4 linked regions of the Schizosaccharomyces pombe genome follow. The protein of the gene in region 2 interacts with the protein of the main gene of each other region in a biochemical or structural test. Each region holds a gene or a part of one and is shown on either strand. Other genes may lie near its edges. The genes, in order: cut4, rpn10, rpn12 and rpn2.

Region 1 (8,729 bases), on a different chromosome or scaffold from region 2:
TGTTATTCCAAAAGTACAAATGAACACGAACGATAATTCGATACACCTGAGACAAAAAATAAGAAGATAAGCTAAATCGACTCTGAGTCCTTCAAAGATAATCTATAGCAGACAAAAATAGATAACAATAGTTATAGCAAGCGTTCAAAAATACAAATTAACATAAACCGACGTTACAGATTCACGGTTTTCACAACAATACTGAGCCTTTCACTCTTAGCGCAGAACCAAAGGTGTATTAAGTAAAACTACAAGTCTTTTTGATACAGAAAGCTTTTGTAGAATTAGCGGCTTTCGAGAAACGAGCTATTCACACTTCCTATGCGTTCGCAAGCTTCAATTTGTGTTTTGCTAACGAAAGAAGTGTTGTGTCATAGGATGCAAGGTTGAAGTCATGCCCTTACTACCCCTCAAAAACGAAGGAATTTTTAATGAGGCGAATAATCGTACGTAAATTATAATAGGGGAATTTAATGTAGATCGTTACAAAACTTCAGCATCTCAGTGCATGTCGGATTTAAAGACTTCTATTTAAATTTTAAGATTGAATTCGTCAGGTGGATTTAGATGGTTTAATACAGTGTATTAATTATCGGGTGTAATTCATTAAATTATAATATTTGGAACCGTTACTCGAAAGTCATAGATTCGAACATCAAGAACTTATGTAAACAGCATACAACGATATAGTGTTAGTTAGTAGCTCGAAGTGTCATGCTTAAATCAATTAATTAACGAAAGGAGGGAAAAGATATAGAAAAAGGATAAAAAAGCTAATCTATTTTCAACGGCGCCTTGAGACAGGCGGTATTACCCCTTGAAGAACCATGGGTGCTTAGTAGTTGTCGCAATAATATTCTTTTTACTTTGCCCAGTGAAATAGTTTGAGCATCAGTATTCCAATTAACAATTTATTATTAACTTCGATTTCCTTTTAACAAACCATTATTTGAAGATAGCTATTAATCATGATCGTGAAAAAAGTGTTGCATTGGATATGCCACCTTGTATATTAATTGAGACATTAAGGTATTTATACAAGTCGTTAATTTTAAGGGGTTCTATTTTTTTAAACTTCAATTTTCCTTTTGAAGGATTGATATGATGGAAAAGATTTTTGGAAACCATTCAGCCCATTAGCATATCATATAATTAATAAACGTAGTTCATAATTATACAGATTCTTCATTATGATTATGAGAATACACATACTCCCATACTCTCAAACTCAAATCTTCTACCAAATCACGAGAAAGGAAAAGATATTGACGGGAGTGAAACTTATTCAAGAGCACACCAGTCCAACAAGACTCAAAAAATTGTAACAGTATTTGCAAACTTAATAAACGGTCTCTAGTTAAATTATCAAAGTCCATAGACAGGAGTAATTTAACGCCTAGAGAAGTTTTATTATTTGATTCTTGTAACGATGCAACGTTTAAGGGGCTATTCGAGCTTTGGAACAACCTGCTTGTTTTTACCAAGTTCCAAAGTGGGCTTGAGGTATCTTTAAGCTTAGGGAATAGATTAAGTGGCTCTTCTTTTGAACTTGTTCGGTCATAAGGCATCAGTGTCAGTGTTTGTGATTCCCTTAATAGTTCACGGTAATCACTGTTATTGTCCAAATCAATTTTTAAATTCCAATACTTATCACCCAACGTCGACACTGAACTAATGCTATCGTACGGCGGCAAAAGTATAGGCGCTTCTAGTTTTTGAACTGCGCCGCTTTTTTGAACAACATTTAATGGCACTATGCATGGCTGTTTGGTATCTTGATTTCTCGGGATAATACAACGTTCTTCCACAGCTAAAGCCCACAAATTTCGAGCAGCTTGCAAATGTGCACGATTATCTTGAGTAGTCCTGGGAAATTGCGGATAAAATGATATTAACAAAGCCGCGATTGCTAAATTACTGCGAGACAAACTATACCTTCCTCCACCTAGCGAAAGAATTCCGAGCGCCATATGAGTAGCCATTTGAGCCCCGTAGTTCACAGGCTCCATTCTCCCATGTAGTACTCTTAACCTTCTCAAAACATCTAGATCACAATAACCCGCCATAACACAAGAAGAAGACAAAGCGACAATTTGTGTACAGCGAATTACAGTCACTGCAGTTACTCTTTCATCGTGTGTTTTAGCAGGCAGATGACACAACCGAATGAAGCTATCTAAAAAGTTGATGAGAATTTCCTTGGCTTTCGGATTACCCGTTCCAGCAAACCTTAAACCTAAAGAAAAACAAATCCCTGCTAAGACATTATAAAGCAGCAAGTCGTCAGAAGAGAGAACCTTTTTTTCCTGTAAATCAAATTGTGAGAGCATTATATCAGGAATTTGATATTTCACCCATTCATAATCTGCTTTGACTTCATCCCACATAATTAAGTTTTTACCGGCAACTCGCAAAAGTATTAGATCTGGACGATAGAAATCAAGAAGATATCGCGATTTAGGAATATCAATTTTTTTCGCAACTTCCAAATCATTAGTCTTCATATATATCATAGTCAAAGCCATAATGGCCCCGGGAGAACCGGCTTCTAAAGACTGAAATGTAGCCTGACTAGATATTCCCACTTGTAGCCTTGAAACGAGTTTTAAATCAGACATGCCTGGAAGATTAGATCCTCTCCCTAAATTAATTAAACCAAGAGAAAATCCAGCAGCTAACTTATAGCCTTCATTCTTTAGTTCGCTTTCATTAGAAGCCAAAATCTCTTCCATGGTCACTTCAGACATGCGTCTATGACACGAATCATGAAATAATAAACCAATTCCTAGAATTCCTGCAGTCTGAGTTAATGGTGAAATATTCAATTCATTAGATCCAACTGGCAGTAATGCTGAAATGTGCACACTTAGCAATTTTGTAACCTTTGCATCCATACTCCCCAAATACGAGGATGCAAGTCCAAGTAAAAGGCCTATACTGGTTGTATCATGCTTGCTAGTAAGATAAATAAAAGAATGCCAGGTAGCAAGGGCCTTTAAATGACCGTTTAGCCCTAGACCAAAAAGAAATCCCGCATGGTAAGCAGTCAAAGTTTCAGGTCGATTGAACATAATCCAACTAGTGTTTATTTCCTTTGAAAACTTAGATATCGATAATCCTAATGCAACGCCAACATTAAACTCTGGCCACTCGGTTAATTCCTGTGTTACGAACTCTTTATTAGGTTGTATAATTAAAGTTCCAGGATGCAAGTGCAATGTAAAATTAAATAATCGTGGAGTGACCTTTTCCGTAGGTAAAGGATTTTTACTACCATACGTAAGCATACCCGCTCCAATTGGCACGGACAATGTTCTAACGCAAATGCATTGAGCAACTTTTTGTTGCATTGGTACTGAACTCAAGTCGACATCAAAGTGTTCAGTCATTATGGTGATTTGACTTGAATAATTTAAAAGTTTATTCACTTCTGCCAGTCGTCGATCCTCTCTAAAAATCATATCCGTTACAACCTTATAAGGATGAAACGACTGCGTGTCAACAAGTGTAGAATCGGTAACTGTACTAGTGAGTGCTTTTATTTCTTTGACTTCTTGATCCTGCTTATTAAAAACCCATTTAGGTGTCTTTGGATGTAAGAATGAATCAACGTCAAGGCGATTGACTAATCGAAGCTCTTCGCTTTCCCAATTCGGAGAATACTCTTCAGCGGCAATCTCGAGTACTGTAAAAATAATGCATAAAATTCCAAATGGGTATCTTTCACACCTCTTTCTTGAAATTCCTAACCGTACCATTTCTTCAACTAAGTTTTGAAGGGTCATATTAGGATTTAGCAAGCAATCGAGTAACTGCATTAAAGAAAGGGTTTGGGGAAACATAGTAGAGCAAGAATGTGGTAGCCCATAACTTTCCAAGCCATAAAAAGGTACTGTAGATTGCGACCTTAAACATTCAATAATCCACTGTAAAATCGATGTTGGACCAACAGGTTCCTCAACATCAACTTGAATCGATAAGGGTATAGATAGAAATGTTTCAGCGATATCAAAGTTATAATACTCGCAATACCGTGGCCACTTCAACCACGTGGTGATTTGAAGTAATAAAGCTACAAGCTGATCTTTACGAGGCTTTACAACCGAATCCAACCGCAATTCTTCAGATATAAAATGTAAGGTAATAGCTAAGGGCATCAAGTAATTTTTGAATGTTGAGTAATCAAGATGAGATGAGAGCTGAGAAGCAATAAGTATTTCTTTTTTAAAATGAAACTTAGAGGACAGACTGTAAGCTTCATTGCAATCTTCAATTGGTTCAACATGAACTTTATCTCGAGAAAAGAAAGTGAAACAGGCGAGTATTGAAGATATGAAAGCCTCATCATGGCTAAGCTTAAAAGCAAAAAGCGCGTAAAGATGTCCAGTATAAAAAATTTCATATTCACGCAAGGGCAAAACATAACGAATAACACTTAAACACCATTTTACCAAGCTATTGGATGCTCTGTTATCTAGAGATATATACCTCTGCACTCCATCGGTGTCCTCTAAGTAAAGTGTGGCACCATGCACACGAAATGAACGAAAGGTACCCTCAATAGGCAAAGATGGCGACATTGGAGACTCGAGACTCACCTTCCCCTTTGAAGACAGAACAACAATTTTTTGCAAATGCTTAGATTTAATAGCACTCAAATTTATTGCATGTAGTTGAAGCGAATCTAAGAAGTAAGGAGATCTGTCACGAACAAGGCGAAACAACATCATGTAGCCTTTTTCAAGCTCTTTCACTAAAGTGGTGATGACCAAAACACCATTTCCAAGGATTGAATCAAACGAAGTACTTCCGGTGATAGGAAAAGACTCTATGTGAGAAAATATGGTCGAATAAGCGAGTCCTTGTTCCTCGAATTTTTCAGAAAGACGAGTATTGGCGGTATAATGGATAGAATCAGAGCGAGTTAAGTCAGGATTCTTTTCACGAGAAAAAGAGCTTTCCCTTCTTCTGTTACGTGAGCTTTTTATTGACTGGTCTGACTCTGGATCAATAAAGCGACTCCTCCAAAAACTCAATTTTTTTTCTTTTTTATTATGTGTTACGACGATCTCTCCCACGACATAAACGATTGAATCAAACAGAGATAGTATTTTTTTTCCGTCAAATTTTATTAACGTAAGTTCATCTAAAGGATCGTTTAGACAAAAAATATGAGGCAAGTCAGTATTCAGATTCTCATCGCTCGAACGATGACGCTGAAGATATAGTCCACTTGGTGAACTCCATGCGCTTTCTGTTGAAAAAGGAACGTTTATAATATAAGAATCATTATTATTGTCGCCCACATAGTATACATATCCAATGTCGTCCAGAATCACAACAATTGCCTTTTTTCCAGATGCAAATGTAGTAATAAGGGCAGCATGTATCTTTTGTTGATCTACGGTATAATTAAATACACGATTTAAATGGTCATTCACAATATAATGCACAGCATCTCCAATGATTTCAACCCGATCATTCTCTTGCAAATCTAATGAATCCTTTAATTCAGGGTCTTGAATAACATTTGTTTTTAATTCTAGCATTTCAGCATCTAGTAACGATAATCAATAACTCAGTTCCGTTTACAATTTCGCATTTCCTTTTTAGCATGAAGTTGTAGGTGAAATCTGAGTGTCAGCGTATATCTAGTGTAAACAAACCAGCATCTCTTACCAAACTTACGTTAGCTAGACAATTAAAAAGTCAACCTACAGAACTTAGTGCTTTTACAAAATCAATTAAATTTAACTTGGATCTTTATATTCCCCAATTCCAGTATTTATCACGCATTGGTTTATTTGAAGACTAGAAATCTTTTTTTTGGAATACTGATAATTAAAAATACTCTAACGGGAAATTGTTTTATGCATTAAAATATCATTTTTGTTTCTCTTTTTTACAGGAATTTAGTTATAAAATCATGTCGATATAGACGACCGACTTGCCATTTCAAACTACAAGTCAGTACTTACATCCCCAGTGTCGAGGATCCATATGGAATATAAGATGCCTTACTATAGGAGTGTGTACGACAAAAGCAAGCAGTAAATTCCTTGAAGTTTAGAGTGAAGGCTTTGGGTGTTTCTATCATAACATGCAGGACTACTTAGACATTTTATTACTGTATAAAGGTTGAGCCATATAGCTGTATAGGGGGATGTAAATAATATTTTACCATACTTTATTCATTTATTTATGAAGATTTCAATGTTAAATATTATTTGGGTATAATAATGTTTGCTATATAAAAGGTAATTTCTGTCTACAGGATAATTATAGGTGCTAAAGCATAAAAGGTAACGATTGCAAGGCAATTTGTTTTTGGTCGAGTAATAAACAAAAAACTTCAAAATGAAGGACTTGACTATTTTTAAATTTTACTAACTTACGACATTTTTAATATGGAATGAGCTTAAGGATCTTTTGCCATCGTCTTGCATTGTGACAAACTTGGTGAGTATTCTGCTAATTTTCTAATATCTTCCATAAAAATATTGCAGTAACTTGAATGGAACAAGTGGTTTGTGCTTGCCTCTCGTTTAATCCTAAAGGTCACTAGTTTGTTTATATATTAGTTTGTAACATGATTATAGTAGAAAGCGTCACGAAGTCAGCGAAAAATTAAGAATTGAGGAACAAATCTAACTATGTATGAAGTGAGGAAACCCTTAGAAACCGAACATACTTGCAATGGGCTCTGAAGGCAAAAACTCTGCAACCCTGGAGTATCAAAAATGTATTTGGTATTCAGAAAAACTCTGCTTCAATTTGTTCTCATTAGCTTCGGTTATATGTTGCTTAAATCTACAACAATGATCAGGCCCCACATTTCAATGATTTTTCGCGAGAGAATAACTCTAATGAATTTATGAGTCGCATATTGACTATATAAAGCCAGTGAAACAAATGGCTTATAATGCAAAAAAATACGGCTATGAGCCTTCTAAATTAATATCTCCATAAAGTAAATATCTTAGATAATAAACTGTGGATTTCTTTGCAACAATTTCTATGCTCTATAATGTACTATCCATCCTGCTTTTGCAATAAATAGTTTATCATAATTTAATATACTTACATTCTATAATGTCAAATTAGCATGACTTGTTGAGGTTCTTTATGTTAAAAGTTAATGATACAATAAACCAGAGCAGCTAATGTAGGAAATTCAATGACAAACAAAATAGTCTGAAATAAAAAGAAATGATTTTTCTATAGACCCAATTAGTAATTCTTTGAAATGAAAAATGATTGCGATTGATCCACCAGAAGTTATAGAACGCTATGGGCAATATTGTAACAGTCATCCTTAGCTATTTACACAAAGGAAAATATATGACAAGAGATTTCTTTAGTTCGTACTTGATTAATCTCTCAGACAAATACAAAAAAAAGAATTATACTAAGTGTTTTCTTAGTAAATAGAACTCGGTTTCAATACCCAATGGTTAAAATAAGACAATGATTGGTATAGACAGTAGAATAATCGGCTATGTATACAAAACGGTTTTTATGCTTTCACTATAAAATATCTCAGCCTAAATTCTTAAATAACCTTTATGTTCACAAGATATTTCATTCTTTGTACATACAATTTAGAGCATATAAAACATCGGTAAAGCGCGTTAAAAATTTTAACGGTTTAAAACATGGCTCTCAATTGTCAGGGATTCACATCTGTTTACATGTCATGGGAGTTTATAAATGATCCAGTACAACATCTTTTCTGTATGGAAGTAGTTCCCCTTTAAGGGAATAATATTATTGATTGTCTTTACTATTTTCGAGCAACTTTTCAAGATGAAAAAAGAAAATTGGCAAAAAATTGAAAATGTGTATTTATTGGGAAAAAAAATTGATAAGGCCAAACGGATGGCAAATAAGGGTGAATCAAATACAAACATGCTCTCAACAGAAGAGAATATAGTCAAAGCAAAAGCTGTTTCTCGCAAAAAACCAGTTGACGTTTCTTACGCAGGGCTTGCAAGACATGAGTCTCATGTTGATACCGATTATCATGGGCAAGCCCTTAATACGGATAATCAAGATCCTAAAAATTATCAAGCTAGGAGCTTTGTAAAAGAGAATGAGCTTTATGAATCATCTCAAGACTGTGGACATAGCAGATTGGCCCAAATTCTAAGCGAAGAAAACCAAATCAAACGCCTTCCTCAAAGCGATAATACAACAACTGAAAGGATAATAGAAAATAACCCAAATTATTCCAATAAACCGAGTAAGCTGAAAAGAGCGTTGAGTGGGGAAAACAGTGTCTTTTCCATCCATCAAAGAAATACCCTGTCACCATCTTCTAATCTGCCACGCATTCCAAGTGATTTGTATGATATTAAACAATTTCTAGAGAATTTAGATGCTCGTTCTTTTAAATCAGACATGGATTTAAAGCGGTCCCAAAACATGAGAAGGAGAGCAACTGGTTATCCGGCCATCGTCGTGCCTTTTCTAAATGGCAGTTTACCCCAGGCCGATTTGCCTCCTTTGCGGACGATCGAAGATATAGATAACCTAACTAGAGAGCAGTGCTTAACATTTATTCAGGGTTACGGAATTCCCATCGATTCTTCTGATACTGTTTATCTCAAAGAAAAGCTTCGAGATGCCATAGGAATGAGAGCATTCACTGACATGAGCTTCGAGATGAATAGCTTTCATTTGGAAAGCCCTAGGTGAGACGCATGGTGCTGGTATACAATGATGTTCGT
Region 2 (4,313 bases):
CTATTCCAGCACTTTGCTTAGATCCATTGGGATTATGTCGGCCAGCTCTTCCTGCTATCTGCTTAATTTGTGGTACAGGGATGTCTATAGTGGAAACTCCACTAAACTTTTTTAAATCGCTGAAAACAATACGCTTTACGCCTAAGTTGAGACCCATACCAATGGCATCGGAGGCCAGCAAAATATTTTCATCAGAACTCTTTGAATTAAATAAGCTTGCTTGTTGATTACGGACTTCAGGAGGCAGTGAACCATAAATAACGGCAGATTTTTTTCCTAATGCTTGATCAATTTTAGACTTCAAAGTAAAAATGTTTTTCCTTGAAAAAGCCACAACACAATCCCCGTCTTTGAGTTCACTTAACTTTCCATTTAAGCTCTTTTCTGCAACGTGGAGAGGATTTAACCGTTCGTATCTGTAAACAGTAAAATCATCTTGGGTCATTTTAGCAATTGAACGCACTAATTTAACAACACTTTCTTCTCCGCATAAATGAATTTCCTTAGCCTGCAAGCCAAGCAAGCATTGAGTCCAAGCATATCCCCGTGAAGGATCAGCCATCATTTGGATTTCATCAATGACTGCAACATCAAAAGTAGTAGATAAGTTGCACATTTCTACAGTACATGAAACAACCTGAGGGAAAGGATAATCATTTCTAATCTCTTCCCCTGTGTAAAGATTACAAGCTATTCCGTTTGCTTGCAAGCGATTATAGATTTCGTGAGCCAAAAGTCTTAAAGGGCCAGCAAATATACCTTTCTTGCAAGTCTTAAGTCTTTCTAAAGCCCTATGTGTTTTCCCGCTATTCGTTGGGCCGACATGCATAATGATATGCCTTCTGAGTTTTCTCGCTCCTGGATACCACTCAATTGGATTTTTTAAATCTGTTAATTGCTTTTGTAAGTCAGGTCTTGTTTCTTCTATTCGCTCTTGATATCGTACATACTTCCGATACTCTGAGAGTAAACAATCATGGATCTTTTTTATTTTCTGAAGGTCAAAAGTAGAAGAAGATTTTGAAAGAGCCAATGATTTATCAGAGTTTTTTAAGTCAGAAAATCCTAAATCTGTAAGGATATTCTTTTTTAACTCATAATAGTATACATTCTGAAAGACACTGGCATCCTTGCAGACATTGACAAAGTCTTGGGCTAAGTATGCTTGTTTTGACGAAAGTTCTTTGGAAGCAAATAAATATGCAGTGAAGCGATTGAGGGCAGCAGCCCACAAGGTATTTCCTGGGAATTTCCTTTGTTGAAAAACATCCTTTGATAAAGTGTGAATTCTAGCAGACTTGCTAAAAAACGGTACACAAAACGTTACGCCATGAATCAAAGTTTCCAAAAACATTCCTGGCGAGTTAAAATCTTTCTAGCAATGCTCTATTGCTGGCCGCCCTGTAACCAGAGCAAAACTTAATCCAAGTATTTAAAGTAATTTAAAAACAAGAAATGTTTATATAGAAAATTAAATACTTCTCAAACGTCTGAAGGTCCCTGGCTTTATCGCTTTTAAAAATATTACCTTCTATTAATTAAAAAAGGAAAAAAAAAGTAATAATTTGACTACGAGATTCAGTCAAGTTGCCTGCTGAGGCCTCTAATATGTTATACCAACAGCTCTGCATGTATCTCCAAAAAATTAGTATCTCAGCAGTACCCTTTAAATTCCAGTTTTCCGCTTCAGTAAATATATAAAATTTTTTAAAAAGCGTTTATTACCTACACTTGTATTATAACAATTTCACGCATTTGGTGTTGGCTTTCGATTATTTACGCGTGCTGTAAGAAATTAGAGAACCTGTGGATTCGAACAGGAAATGAATTGTGTATCACCATGTTTTTCGATGTTTCATTTTGTGATGCGTTACATATCGTTATCCGAGAATGACTAGAGAAGGTGAGTAGTAATACCTTGTCTAGTTCACTTTGCAACACATCTTCTGTAATCTACCAAGCGTTCTTTCAAATTTCTTCGCATTAAGTTTTAAATTATAGGTCTTCAAGATGGTGTTAGAAGCAACGATGATTCTGTAAGAATTTATTTTTGTTAAATTATTGCTCTAACATGGCAGAATTGATAATTCAGAATGGATGATTAATGGTGATTATATACCTACGAGGTTTGAAGCTCAAAAGGATACTGTACATATGATTTTCAATCAAAAGATCAATGATAATCCGGAGAACATGTGTGGTTTAATGACAATTGGTGATAATAGGTATATGATTAATATTACGGCTTGAACGGTACTTTATGTTCAGCTATAAAATACTTTACAGAAATTCTAATCATATTAGTCCCCAAGTTCTTTCTACATTAACCAGAGATTATGGTAAATTCTTATCTGCAATGCACGACCTGCCTGTCCGAGGAAACGCAAAGTTTGGCGATGGTATACAGATTGCGCAGTTAGCCTTAAAGCATAGAGAAAACAAAATTCAACGTCAAAGAATTGTTGCATTTGTAGGTTCTCCTATTGTTGAGGACGAGAAAAATCTTATTCGTCTAGCCAAGCGTATGAAAAAGAATAATGTTGCTATTGATATCATTCACATTGGTGAGCTTCAGAATGAATCAGCTTTGCAGCATTTCATTGACGCTGCTAATTCAAGTGACAGTTGGTAAGTCTACGGATTTTTCGGACATTTTTGGCTTCTTTTTTTTACTAGTATTAACAATTTTAGTCATCTTGTCAGCATTCCACCTAGCCCGCAGTTACTTTCAGATTTGGTAAATCAATCCCCTATTGGACAAGGTGTAGTTGCTTCTCAAAACCAATTTGAGTATGGAGTCGATCCTAATCTTGACGTTGAATTGGCGTTAGCCTTGGAACTTTCAATGGCGGAGGAACGAGCACGTCAAGAAGTTGCTGCTCAAAAATCATCTGAAGAAACTGAGGATAAAAAAATGCAAGAATGATCCGAAGATGTCTACGATTCCTTATCCTTATGAAAGACAAATTAACGTTCTTGTACTTTACTAGCCATGCTTTATGCAGCAACGTTTAAATTAGATTGAATCCTAAAAATCATGATTTTTCAAAATATATCCAAAATAATAAATTGGCAGCATTTTGTTTCATTTTCGTAATTAGCATTGTAGAAAAGGTTAGCGCATTCTAGAAACACATTACTAGAAGGAAAGGTATTAATCTACAATCAAGGTAGCGTTAGTGGCATCCAATAATAAAAACGCCCCTAATATACGTGTCTGACTAGCTGTTTACCTTTCTTAATTTCAACATATACATAAACCAAAACAATTGTTTTCTTCAACTATCTATTATGACCAATAAAATGCAGACCCTTTACCCAAAATTTACTTGATCGCAATATAAAAACACACTTATTTGATCGTCATAAAAGACAATCCATTCCTTGTGTTTTCAACAGCAGATATATATTTCATATTTTCTTCATCAGTCCATTTTACTGATAGCTCATCCCATTTTTTGGTCTGGTATTCTTTTCTAAATTGTTGGCGAATAGCGTTTAATTTTGACATTTCGATGGGATTTCCAGTACCAGTATACAAAAGCAATAGAGAACCTTTTGGTAAGGAGTCGTATAAAAGACGAATTCTTCGATTAAAACGCTCTAAAGCAGAAGAATAGCTAGTTACTTGGTCCTCTTCTACCGAATCATTCTCTGTATCAGTATCAGAGTTGTTTTCTTGTTTTGTATTTCGATTAGCGTTCCACATAGCCGCATGCTCCAATTCGCGAAAACGACCCCACACGAAGTTATGCATGTCTGAAAGACTTACAACAGCGCTTACGACTTCATCATCATTCGCACAAGAAACGCTTTTATGAGCCGCTTTGCCAATGCACGACTCCGGATTACCATAGTCGGCAATTGCACCAATCAATGGAGTTGGCTGCTGTCGTGACAATCTATGAAAGATTGACTCAAAGTCTTGGTTAAACAACCCAAAGGCAGGTCCATTCTTAACTTTCAACTTTAGAAGATCCACACAAGCAAGAGCATCTTCTGCAGAATCGTGCCCCAGAGCTCCCGCTTTTTGTATCTCACGCCTCAACCACTTCGTTGCAAGCCATTTAAGCGATGGTTTTGAAGGGGGACCACGAGTGTGATTATAAATGTTTGCCGTATCAATGATATGAGGGTGTGTAAATTTTAAGCAATTAAGATCAGAATTTAGACTATGGCCTAAAAGAACGGTATTGTTGTCCACAGTCTTTTTTAAGTAAGATTGAACATCGGAAAGAACAGTAGTAACATTTCTCAGTTTTTCTTCAGTTATGCCAGAATACTGGGTAACATAATCAGTGACGGGTGATTCT
Region 3 (4,743 bases), on a different chromosome or scaffold from region 2:
TAGCTGTTGCTAGGCTATCAAATCCGGCTGATACGAAAGTATCTATGTTGGGATGCGTAGGTGATGATGCCTTTGGGGTGGAAATGTTGTCCGGATTGAAGAAAGACGGCGTAAATGTAGATAATGTCAAAAAGATTGAAAACAAGTCCACAGGTGTTGCCATGATTATTGTCGAAGAAACGGGAGAAAACAGAATTTTGCTTTCTGAGGGTGCGAACGGTAATGTTGATACTGCGTTTGTGAAGGCCATGGAGCAAAGAATATCAACATGTAATCTTCTAATTATGCAATTAGAAATTCCTTTAGAAGCAGTGGAAATTGCATTGCAGATCGCTCACAAACATGGTGTCGATGTTTTGATGAATCCAGCACCAGCGATTCCGCTTAGTCATGACATGATATCTTATTGTGCCTATCTTGTACCTAACGAACATGAAGCTGCCATTCTCTTAAATCAAGCAGACTCACCTGCTACGTTGGAAAATGTGGATGCATATGCTTCTAAGTTACTAAGCTTCGGTGTCCGTAAAGCCGTAATTATAACCCTTGGTAGCCAAGGTGCTTACTATAAGTCTGCGAACGGAGAATCTGCTTTGGTCTCAGCATGCAAAGTGAAAGCCGTTGACACGACTGCCGCTGGCGATACCTTCATTGGTGCCTTTTCTAATTCAATTGCACACGGACAGCCACTTAAGGACTCACTGGAATTTGCTGCTAAATGTAGTGCTATTACTGTACAGAGAAAGGGAGCTGCAAGTTCTATTCCTTCCTTACTTGAAGTCGATGGTTCCTTTAACCTAAAAAAGAATACATAGCCTCTGGCTTTTACGCGTTACCTTACAAAGGGAAGAAAAAAGCATAATTCGATTTTAGATTTCTACACATTCTTATCTCATATAACTTCATCAACTCTTTTTCAGTATTGAACATAAACTTGCATGTTGCTCAAGTTAATGAGAACAAAAGGTATCTCTTACGAATAATAAAGGTTATAGCATAAAATATGATTCGTTTGTTAATAAGAGGGAAGTGAAATAAACGCCTTGACTTTTGTAGAAAGAGTAATTACCATCAAACAAGATGTTTGATTCATTAAACAATCTGCTCTAATTCTGAGGTGTAACTCAGTAATTGACGAATACTCGAAATTGTGTGCTTGCTAGCAGTGGGAGGAAGCTCCAATTCGTCTTCCTCATCAATAAGCATACCATCCTCCGTCTCCAAAGCATTGGCCTCTTTGGGAAAGTATATTACACCGTCTCTAATATCCCAGCCTCGTTCTTCAGCAAGTTTTTCGGTTTCCTTAGTGTTTTCCAGGTACAGCAAACTTGTTGCATTAGATAAGGGGATTTCTGAATACACTTTCTCGGCACAAGTCGCAATTTCGTTTCGAACCATACTCATAACAATTTTCATAAAATAACTAAACTCAGGAAAGTTACAGGATCGAATCATGGATGCTACCTTATCAAATGCACCTTCCATTACATTTTGTTCTAGAGAAATAACCCATTCTACGTACGGATCTCTTTCAAATAACGATTTGTCAGGAACGGATTCCAAGGCTGTGTGAAATTCAGCGATACGATTTTCAGATAATAGATACAACAAATTTAATCCTGTAACAAGTCCCATCCTTGATGAAGGGACAAGGGAATCATGATAAAAAGGAATTACTTGGCTAGCATACCTTGCAAACGATTCAATATCACAAGTTTGAATCGAGACAAGTACACCGTATTCAAATACATTTCCTATAAGGAAGATTAGAGGTCTGTTCTTAGATAACTATACAAATAACATACTGGCAAAACTAGCTTTCTCTTTATCGCTAGTAGGGACGAAGAGGTTCTGCTTAGCAAGTTCGACTTTCAGTTTCAGAAGTTCCTTTTTACAAGCATTCCAATCCTTTCTGTCATAAAGATCTGCTAAATGGTTCAAGTCTAATGTACTCATATTGATGTGTATTGAGAGTGTAATAAGTTGGAACTTTTAAGAGAGCTGTAGAAACAACACCTCTTGCCATGCATCTCAGAATAGTCATCAATAACGAACACACTATAAAGGTTTACCAGCAAAAATTAAAGCTCCTTACGGATTTTGACGTTGTTTTATTAGATTCATTATATCACTTAAGCAATTGTAACATAGTATTCACTCACAATAATTGCTGTAGTTGCGTTAACTCTCTTTATCCTTTAAACTAAAGAATATGCCGGATCTTTGGTCAGAAAGTATATTAGAAGGCAGAAAATTGAGTATTTATCATCTTAAAAGTACTTTAGAGAAATGTCCATTTCTATTTGGTCAAAGTAAGAAGTCTAAGGATTTTCAATTTGGGAGTCATCTTTTTTTGGTAGAGGAACAAAATGTATTTATTTTTGGCATGGAATGCATAGTTTACGAAAAAAACAAAGAGTTTATAGTATTTGTATCTAAAGCAGATTCTACCGGATTCGGCAGCAAAGGGGTATCTTGTAACTCTCTTGCTTTTTGCTGCTTAGTGACACTTATTGACGGTCTTAGAAAACAAGGAGCCGAAAATGTAACTTTGACTCTGTTTGCGATTGCTCAAGGTCAATATTTATTTCCTGAGTCGGTGGACAATGGACAAAAGCATGTGCTGAATGATTCTGGTTTGTTACGCTGGTGGGTAAATTGTTTGGAAAAACTCAGGAAGTATTATACTGACAGTGAAGCACCAAACGATTCCGAAAAGCAAAAGAATTCCACATTACTTCCTAAGGCTTATTTATTTGTTCCTGGACTTGAAAATATTCGTTCGTACTTACCCAATCGTCATTGGATTGAAAGCAACGCTATAACAACTGGAAAAGCAGTTGAAGAATTACCAAGATTTCCAGATGACCCAAAATGTAGGTATTTATGCGAGCTTCAAGATGAGAAAAGTGACATGTCCGTTGAAGAGTTTTGGGATACGCTGACTTATAGACAAGAGTGCTCCTCAGGTAAACTAGTTGGCTTTTTCACATTACAGCTACAGTTCTATCAAACAAGAGAATTTATTGCTAAAGATAATTTTGGTGATTCTGGTGTAATGATTCCAGCTAAATTATACAGAGTCACTTACGATACTTTATTGAAGCATCCATTTGGCTCTTTATCTGATGCACAGTCGTCAACAGAAAAGTTTCTTAGTAACACACTTTCCGCTGTACAAAATTTAAAGGATTTTCATTATAAGCGCTACAAGCTAGATATATGTGGGTTGGCAAAACGTGATGATCGTAAAAATCACAACCATTCGAAACCTGCTACGCAAGCCAATATTCTACAGCCACGAAAAAAAGTGAAAAAATAAAGGACTTTAAGTTCGTTGAAAATTTTTAATAATCCCAATCAATCCTCTCATGTAGATTTTTAGAGAAAGTTTTTGTTTAATATTGAAATTGACACTTTTCGTCAGTATTGCAAATAAATTAATAAACAACAAATATCTAAAATTAATAAAAAGCTAAATTAATGAGAGTGAAACTCAGGGGGAGTTAGTAAAAATAACTATATCAAAAAACCAAAACTAAGTAGAAATATCAGACTGACTAATAAGACATTCGACTATCCATTCAGGATCAACGACCGGACAATTAGTTTCATCTACAATGTTTCCATCCATCGTAAGTATCAAATCACACTCCAAATGTGCAACATTTGGTCTAATTTCAACGTCAGCACCCAATGCCAACGCGTGATAGACATGAGCCAAAGCTTTTTGACCCTGCTCTGTATTTTCAATCTTTTTCTGCCAAGATTTTGCTTCAGGTATAATAAATAAAATCTTTTTTCCAAATAAAGGACCCTTCCTTGCCAAAAGTCTGTCATATAAAGAATCAGTGGTATCAAAAGGTTCTATCCGTTGGGAAAGTGTACAATCTAGACGGTGTGAATAGCCAGATGCCAATAAATAAGGAGAAAAATCAACAACTCTGTTCATTTTTAAGCACTGTTTAATAAATTGAGGATGGACACACGGGATATTAAAAGCTAGAGCTTCTAAATATTTAACCTTTCTAGAAAATGTGTCAGATACAACGAAAGCTTGATTCCACGATTTACTTCGCTTTTGAGGTTTCAAATGGCGTAACTTTTTTTGTTTGCTTTTAAACGGGTCATTAAACAAAGGGCGTAAGCCTGTATCAAGAACTAATCCTCCATGATCCTGAACTACAGTTTCCAATGCACTTCGGTCATAGGCATCCTCATGCACGGGACCGCTGAATGCAAACACGCAATCGTCAAAGATGAGCTGATTACTTTCTGAATCCAAGTTCTTCTTGACAAAGGAAGAATCCCTTTCTTTCAAAGAAGAGCGGTTTCTCTGAGAATCATGTGAAGGAAGAAATGATGTTTCCTCAAACTTCATATCTTTTAAAGTAGAAAAACTGAGGTCTCTTCCTTGAAACCGCCGAATGTTCACAGGAGCAACATAAATAGTAGAAATGGGAACCGTAACCTCAATTTCTCCGTGTGCCAAAATAACCATGTCGTTGTTTAGAGCGTCCACTGCTATAAGGGATAATTGCTCATTAGTAGATCGAAATGTTTTCACAACAGTATGCTTGATTTTTCCTAATCTTGTGGATTGTACAACGTCTCCTTTTTTCAAAAAAAATCTCTTAATTTGATTTGAATTAACCGTGCTCATAGTTGCATCATCAAATTGAACCTTATACATGATGGAACTTGTTACGGCTGAATGTACGGGTGCGACAAGAGTTGCTGGGT
Region 4 (6,773 bases), on a different chromosome or scaffold from region 2:
TCTGAAGTCGAGCCCGTCATACCAGGTGTAGTTCCAGATACACTCAGCGTTGGAGCTGGGGAAGGATTAACTGGCTGATCCAAATCCCATAAGGAAACGACACAGTCGTCCCCACAAGTGGCTAATTTTGATTTAGAGCCCGGCATCCATTTAACCGCATTCACGTCCCCCTTATGTCCACGCAAAGTGGCATAAGCAGTTCCCGGCACTCGGATGTCAATCATTTGGACGTCAGAAGAATTATGGTGGAAAGTTGCCATTAAATTAACATCGGAATCGCAAGCAGAAAGTCGAAGTAAAGGAGCTGAGACAGGAGGAGAAGCATTTGTATAGTCACCGTTTCTCTTCCAAAAGGTGCTATCGCCCTCATATATGATCGTGGAATGATCCAATGATCTAAAGAAAGTTAACAAACTACTGTCAAAAGGAAAAATCCAATTGCCGATTGTGGATCGCATACCTCAAGTCAAACATGCGGACGCTGCCATCAGCTCCTACGCTAACAAAAACATTGATACTGTCCTTGAGAAACGCAACGTCATAAACTTCTTTGTCGTGAGCAATTAATTGTGTTTTTGATTGCTGGGCTACAATGTCCCAAACTGTGCAAGTGGTATCAAGGCTACTCACTACGATATATGAAGGATCAGTTTTGCACCAATCAAACGAAGTTAGAGGAGCATTATTATGAGTTTTTACATGCTATAACATTAGTCGCCAAGAAGAAAAAAGAAAATCATACGGTAGATAAAGAGGCTTGACATAACAAAGGAGAATCAATCCCCGCTTCAAAATCGGTTTTCCATAATCGCAATTGCTGATCCGTAGAAGCTAGCAACTGGGAGTCGGTGTTAGAACCAACCGATGAAGGATTCCATAACAACTTCGTAACTGGGTATTCAAGATCAGTTGCTGCTTGCGCCTTTTCCAAGTGAGAATTTCCATCATCCCCAGTTATTAGTTTTAACAATTGTATCTAAACAATTTTTTGGTTAGTAACTTCGTAGAACAGAGTACATCTTTGGAGTCTATGCCAAAAGAAGCACAGATAAAATTATATAATATTTCCCCTGGTTTTGCAATTAGCATACCATATTATTTGGTTCTTCATTCAAACTTCCCATAGCAATCCATTCACTAGAATATTTTCCTTGTTTTAACCAATCCAAGGCAAATGGAATCCACGGTGCATTGTATCCAGTATATTCTTTTCCCGCTTCAAATTTGTTAGGCAGTTGTCTTTTGGGCGATCCGTAGAATTTGCCAAGTGAATCAAGTACTGATTTTCCAACGCCAGCAGATATTGAATACCTATTTCTACGTAAATCTGTCATTGTGCGCGAAGTGTGGATATTGGGATAAAGTAAGTAAGCGCCCCACTTATGATGTATATTCAATACAAAGCAAACAGCGAATACCGGCTGCAAAGCGAAAACGCAAAAATGAAGAATTGTTTTATTATATTTGTAATTTTTTTCCTATTCAATAATTTTTTAGTAAATTAAAAGAAGCGACTGCGTACAATTGCTTCACCCTTTTTTGTTGATTGACCTTTGATCCCGTACTCAGCGCTTCCGTTAAGGTATCATTACATATACATTAATATCATTGTATGCGTGAAACACAGAATTTTTTATATCTATTTAGAGTTAAGATAGTTATGTTTTAACAAAATACATTTCGGGTTACTTTAGCTTCTGTTTGCTTCCAGTTTGACGACATCGAAAAATGTCCATTCAATTAACATGCCAGCAATAAAAAACAGTGGTTTTAATAAAGCCAAAAACATTGTGGCATGGGAAGGCCTCGATATCATTTCTGGACGCATCCATGTGGCTTAGTTATTTCATTACTGATAGAATTGACTTCGAGAAAAATTATGAAATACATTAAATTTTCTTGATCAAACAGTTCATTTGCAAAGCTACTGAACCATGATAATTGTTATATTACATTGTATTTGTAAAGTAATATTGTACTAGGCATTGATACGTACTGCAAGTTAAACGAATGATCCCAGCGTAATATATACTATCAAAAAATACTAATGAAAGTATAACTGTGAAGTCAAACAACTATAATGCTTTAAAAAAAAAATTCGACAAAAATTAGCTACTTTGTTAAGCTAAAGACTATAAATTTATCGATACTAAAAGCGAATGATAAGAAGGCAATGAGAATCATATTATAGAACGATCAGAATAGCTTTACTTAGTTCGTTCATTTTGATACGATACTCATATAAATCCCTCATTGGGTTGAGATATCTTACATAGTTGATGAAACATACAATTTGACTTTTTTCGATAATACTGAATATTATTTAGGTGGTGTGGTGTGGATAACATGATATAGCATTACATTTAATATACCTGAAACATTTATTGGTACAAGTGCCCTACCCTTACCGAATGTGTTGGTGGAATGAAGCACAACGGTTCAGGGTATTTACCAACAACGAAACACCACCTGCTGTTATATAGTTTGTAAGATTTAAATAAACAGGTCTAGTTTCGTCGAAATGACTATGGTGTACTCTGATAACACCTCTATTATAACGTCAGCAGGTACGTCGAGCGTTAAACAATGAAAAAATGTAGAAATCATGTTCACTAATCCTTTTGATAGGTGGTTTGATGGCCCTGCTGGACGAGCAAGAGCGAGAATTACAAGTACATGCTTTACTAAAAATTTATGAGTTTATTGATCAATTATGGCCGGAAATATCGGATGATGTTACGAAAATTGAGGTTATGTATGAGGACCATTCATTTCCTGAACGCGAATTAGCAGCCTTGGTAGTCTCAAAAGTTTATTATTACCTTGGAGAATATGATGAGGCTCTTTTGTTTGCCTTGTCAAGTGGTCCAAAGTTTTTGCATGACAAAAATAGTGATTACAAAGAAACACTAATTTTCAAATGTATTGATATGTTTATTCATAAAAGTGCAGAGTTGTACAAAAATCCAAAGGCTGACCCCTTGGACGAGAGACTAAGTGGCGTAGTCGAGGGCATTTTTCAAAAATGTTATGCTAAAAACGAATGGAGACATGTTTTGGGAATTGCTATCGAGGCTCATCGACTTGACATTATTGAATACATTTTAAATGCAGACAAAGAGACAGATTTAAAGCCTTATGTACTGGAACTTGCAATGACTGTTGTTTTAGACATTGAATTCCGAAACCGCTTACTTCGTCTATTACTAAGTTCTTTTCTGACAGAAACAGAACCTGATTATTTCTCAGTTGGAAAATGCGTTGTTCATTTGAACGATGCCTCTGTTGCAGCCAAACTTTTAATGAAACTATCTTCTCAAAACGATGACAAAAGCTTATTGACAGCGTATCAATTAGCCTTTGATCTTGAAGATTCGGCTCCACAAGAGTTTTTAAATAGTGTGATGGATTTGCTTCCTTCTCCCTCTGTGGCCAATTCCGAAGAGGACGCTAACGCTGATTCGAAAAAGGAGGATTCTTCTCCTTGTGGTTATATTATTCGAATTTTGTCTGGTGAACAAACCGTTAAATATGACCGTGAATTTTTATATGCACATAACAATACGGATATGCTTATTCTGAACAGGACGAAAGATTCTTTAGAAGCCAGGAACTCGGTTTTTCATAATGCAGTTACGTTCGCCAATGCGTTCATGAACTTCGGTACTTCCTCGGATAGTTTCTTCCGCGACAACCTTTCCTGGTTATCCAAGGCCAACAACTGGTCAAAATTTACTGCAACAGCTGCATTGGGTGTCATCCATCGAGGATATTATAATCAAGCTATGAACATTCTTCGTCCTTATCTGCCGGAAGAAGATGCGCCATCAAGCTCTACTTATTCTGAAGGTGGTGCTTTCTATGCCATGGGGTTGATTCATGCTAATCATGGAAGAGGTGTTACTGAGTATCTGCGCGAACAACTGAAACATACCGAAGATGAGATTGTTCAGTATGGTCTCTTACTTGGAATTGGCCTAACGGGCATGGCTAGTAGGGACGAAACCCTTTATGAATCTGTTAAGACTATCCTTTTTAACGATAATGCCGTGGCTGGGTCTGCCGCTGGTATATCCATGGGTCTCATAATGCTTGGTACAGCTTCTTCTGCCGCCATTGATGAAATGTTGCAGTATGCACATGAGACGCAGCATGAGAAGATTATTCGAGGTTTGGGCATCGGTATTGCATTAATTGTTTATGGACGTCAGCAAGAAGCTGACGGTATAATTAAAGAACTGAATAATGATTTGGACCCTACTCTCCGTTATGCAGGCATGTTCGCTACCGCTTTGGCTTATTGTGGTACAAGCAATAGCAAAATAGTTAGAGACGTACTTCATATCTCAGTTAGTGATGTCAATGATGATGTTCGTCGTGCTGCAGTTTGTGCTTTAGGTTTTATCTGTTTCAAGGATCCTAACGCTCTGATTTCAACGGTTGAGCTGCTCGTTGATAGTTATAACCCTCATGTTAGATATGGTAGTGCAATCGCTTTAGGAATTGCCTGTGCAAACTCGGGGTCCAATGCTGCACTAGATTTATTGAGCCGCCTTGTTGAAGATGCAACGGATTTTGTTCGCCAAGGTGCCATGATTGCTCAAGCAATGATTCTCACTCAACACAACGATCAATTGAATAGTAAGGTTTCTGGAATTCGAAAACATTTTGAACAAGTCATCAACGAAAAACATGAAGACGCGCTTGCTAAATTGGGCGCAACATTGGCTCAAGGTATTATTGATGCCGGCGGTCGTAACGTTACTATTGCTCTTCAGACAGCTACTGGTAGTTTGAAATTGTCTGCAATTGTTGGATTAACTGTTTTTCTTCAATATTGGTACTGGTTTCCACTCACGCATTTTATGTCTCTTTCCTTCTCACCTACTGCGCTGATAGGTCTGGATAAAAACTTGAATGCACCCAAATTTTCTTTTATTTCAAATGTTCGTCCTAAACTGTTTGCCTATCCTCCAAAGTCCGTACAACCCACTGCTAAAACGGTCCAAAAAGTTGAAACTGCCGTGCTCTCTACTACAGTCAAAGCTCAAGCACGTGCCAAGCGTGCTGAACGTGAAAAAGCCAGTAAAGGTTCAAATGATGACGAAATGAAAATCGACAAAAAGACAACTGAAGAGAAAGAGGCCACTCCGATGGAAATGGATGAAGAAAAAAGTCAGGATATAAGCATCAACGGCAACTCTAAAAAAGAAGAACCTAAGTCTGAAACTTTAGAGAACTTCACGCGGGTTGTTCCTGCTCAGCTTCCATATATTTCATTTAACCTTAATGGCCGTTATTATCCGGTTCGCAAATTTACCGGTGGTGTTCTTATGCTTATCGATCGTGAGTCTGATAAAGCTCCAGATTTAATTGAACTGAATAGAGACGCTGTACCTGCTAGTGCAGATACAGAGCCTGGTGAACAGGAGGCCTCTCCTCCTGAAGATTTTGAATACCCATTTGATGATGATGATTAGATTCCCAGAAGTACATCCTGCTAGTCTCAAAAAACCATATACGTTTGTAAGAACATCTTGATTGTTACTTGCATCTCTTCAGATTAAATACAAACGTTTTCATATGTTAATAGACTTGTAGTTTGAAGTTAACGTATTTATTCTACGGAACTGAGTGTTCGGAAGATTGCTAGACAATTTCATTTTGATGATAAATTTAAAAAGTTTTCAATTACGTTTTTTAAATTAAATATCATGTTTTTTACGTTGATTTGGTATTATTGCCTTTTATTAGTAACAATGCTTATTCATCTATATAACCAGCCTGCCGGTAATTAGATTTTTGAATTATAGCTATGAAATGTATTTTGAAAGTGTTCAATACCTATTGTACAAAAATTGAAATGTGTTATGATAATCGTGAACTAAAAGTATCTTAGCTTATGATTCTAAACTAAGTTGAAAATATTGTAAGGGATGGTGAATGCTCTCCTCCAGCGAACCGACATTTGGATGAGTAAGCTCAAAAACACGCGTACACGCAATATGATAATGCCTCGCTTTAACTGCCTCAACAACTTCACGGCATCCGGCAGAATCCGGTGCTATTCCCATGGAAGCCAATGCTGACACTAGATTATTTACTGAATATGTACGATAAGGACAACCGTGGGCATCTCCAGGACCAAGTTGAGGCCCTGTAAGGATCTGCTGGCAATTATAACCCTTGTAATTTTTCCTATTTCCTTCAAGTCCATAAGTATGTCTAATATTGTAGCGATATTCTTTGTTAAATTTGTCTTCTGTTACATTTGTAAAACTTTTCCTCCAAAAGACCAAAGCTTCGTCGACAGAAAGGCCAATATCCTGAAAAATTAGTAAATTACTACATAAAAAATAAGTTTCATACTTTTAAAAATAGCCCATATTGAAGACGGCCAAAATGCCGTAGATGCTTATCACGCTTAAGTACTTCATGTAAATGTTTGGCGCATAATGGAAAATGTGAAACAAAACTGTCTACTTGTCCAGCAGTAATAGCACCAGATTTAGGAGCAACTATTGAACTCTCGGGAGCAACGAATCCTTTACTCAAATGGTTGAGAATTGGCAAAAGACGATCGTCTTCATCAAGCCTAGGAAGAGATTTTGCGGTAGACTCAAGCGCTTTTTTTAAGTTTTCTTCAAACTCTTCAACAACTAGACTTACTTGTTCCGAAAATGGTACGTAAGCGTATCCCTTGTGAACGAAAACAGCCCTTCGTTCTACTAAATCCGGAACTTTAAAAAAAGGTACTTTGAAGAAAGATTCGT

Evidence for each region.
Region 1: the proteins of rpn10 (region 2) and cut4 form a complex in vitro, tested with the Schizosaccharomyces pombe proteins (one study listed by BioGRID).
Region 3: the proteins of rpn10 (region 2) and rpn12 form a complex in vitro, tested with the Schizosaccharomyces pombe proteins (3 studies listed by BioGRID, with this or other methods).
Region 4: the proteins of rpn10 (region 2) and rpn2 form a complex in vitro, tested with the Schizosaccharomyces pombe proteins (one study listed by BioGRID).

What each region holds. Positions count from the first base shown.
Region 1 is NC_003423.3:387,809-396,537, reverse strand, and holds cut4 (anaphase-promoting complex platform subcomplex scaffold subunit Apc1), read right to left. Parts: upstream 5,629-8,729; 5' UTR 5,550-5,628; coding exon 1,173-5,549; 3' UTR 501-1,172; downstream 1-500. Other genes in the region: protein mug2, read left to right, coding at 7,807-8,697. UniProt on the Schizosaccharomyces pombe protein: Component of the anaphase-promoting complex/cyclosome (APC/C), a cell cycle-regulated E3 ubiquitin-protein ligase complex that controls progression through mitosis and the G1 phase of the cell cycle.
Region 2 is NC_003424.3:4,556,334-4,560,646, reverse strand, and holds rpn10 (19S proteasome regulatory subunit Rpn10), read left to right. Parts: upstream 1-1,950; 5' UTR 1,951-2,010; coding exon 2,011-2,036; intron 2,037-2,078; coding exon 2,079-2,225; intron 2,226-2,282; exon of another isoform or gene 2,283-2,304; coding exon 2,305-2,628; exon of another isoform or gene 2,629-2,691; coding exon 2,692-2,926; 3' UTR 2,927-3,096; downstream 3,097-4,313. Other genes in the region: ATP-dependent RNA helicase Rpm2, read right to left, coding at 1-1,354; rex1 (putative ribonuclease H70), read right to left, coding at 3,353-4,313. UniProt on the Schizosaccharomyces pombe protein: Protects ubiquitin chains against dissambly by deubiquitinating enzymes thereby promoting protein degradation.
Region 3 is NC_003423.3:4,212,219-4,216,961, reverse strand, and holds rpn12 (19S proteasome regulatory subunit Rpn12), read right to left. Parts: upstream 1,986-4,743; 5' UTR 1,957-1,985; coding exon 1,806-1,956; intron 1,755-1,805; coding exon 1,093-1,754; 3' UTR 845-1,092; downstream 1-844. Other genes in the region: rbk1 (ribokinase), read left to right, coding at 1-815; histone lysine acetyltransferase Rtt109, read left to right, coding at 2,213-3,322; crb2 (DNA repair protein), read right to left, coding at 3,539-4,743. UniProt on the Schizosaccharomyces pombe protein: Acts as a regulatory subunit of the 26S proteasome which is involved in the ATP-dependent degradation of ubiquitinated proteins.
Region 4 is NC_003423.3:3,318,590-3,325,362, reverse strand, and holds rpn2 (proteasome regulatory subunit Rpn2), read left to right. Parts: upstream 1-2,450; 5' UTR 2,451-2,521; coding exon 2,522-2,567; intron 2,568-2,628; coding exon 2,629-5,480; 3' UTR 5,481-5,730; downstream 5,731-6,773. Other genes in the region: dca7 (WD repeat-containing protein), read right to left, coding at 1-396, 461-702, 743-976, 1,092-1,334; DNA primase large subunit Spp2, read right to left, coding at 5,901-6,326, 6,370-6,773. UniProt on the Schizosaccharomyces pombe protein: Acts as a regulatory subunit of the 26S proteasome which is involved in the ATP-dependent degradation of ubiquitinated proteins.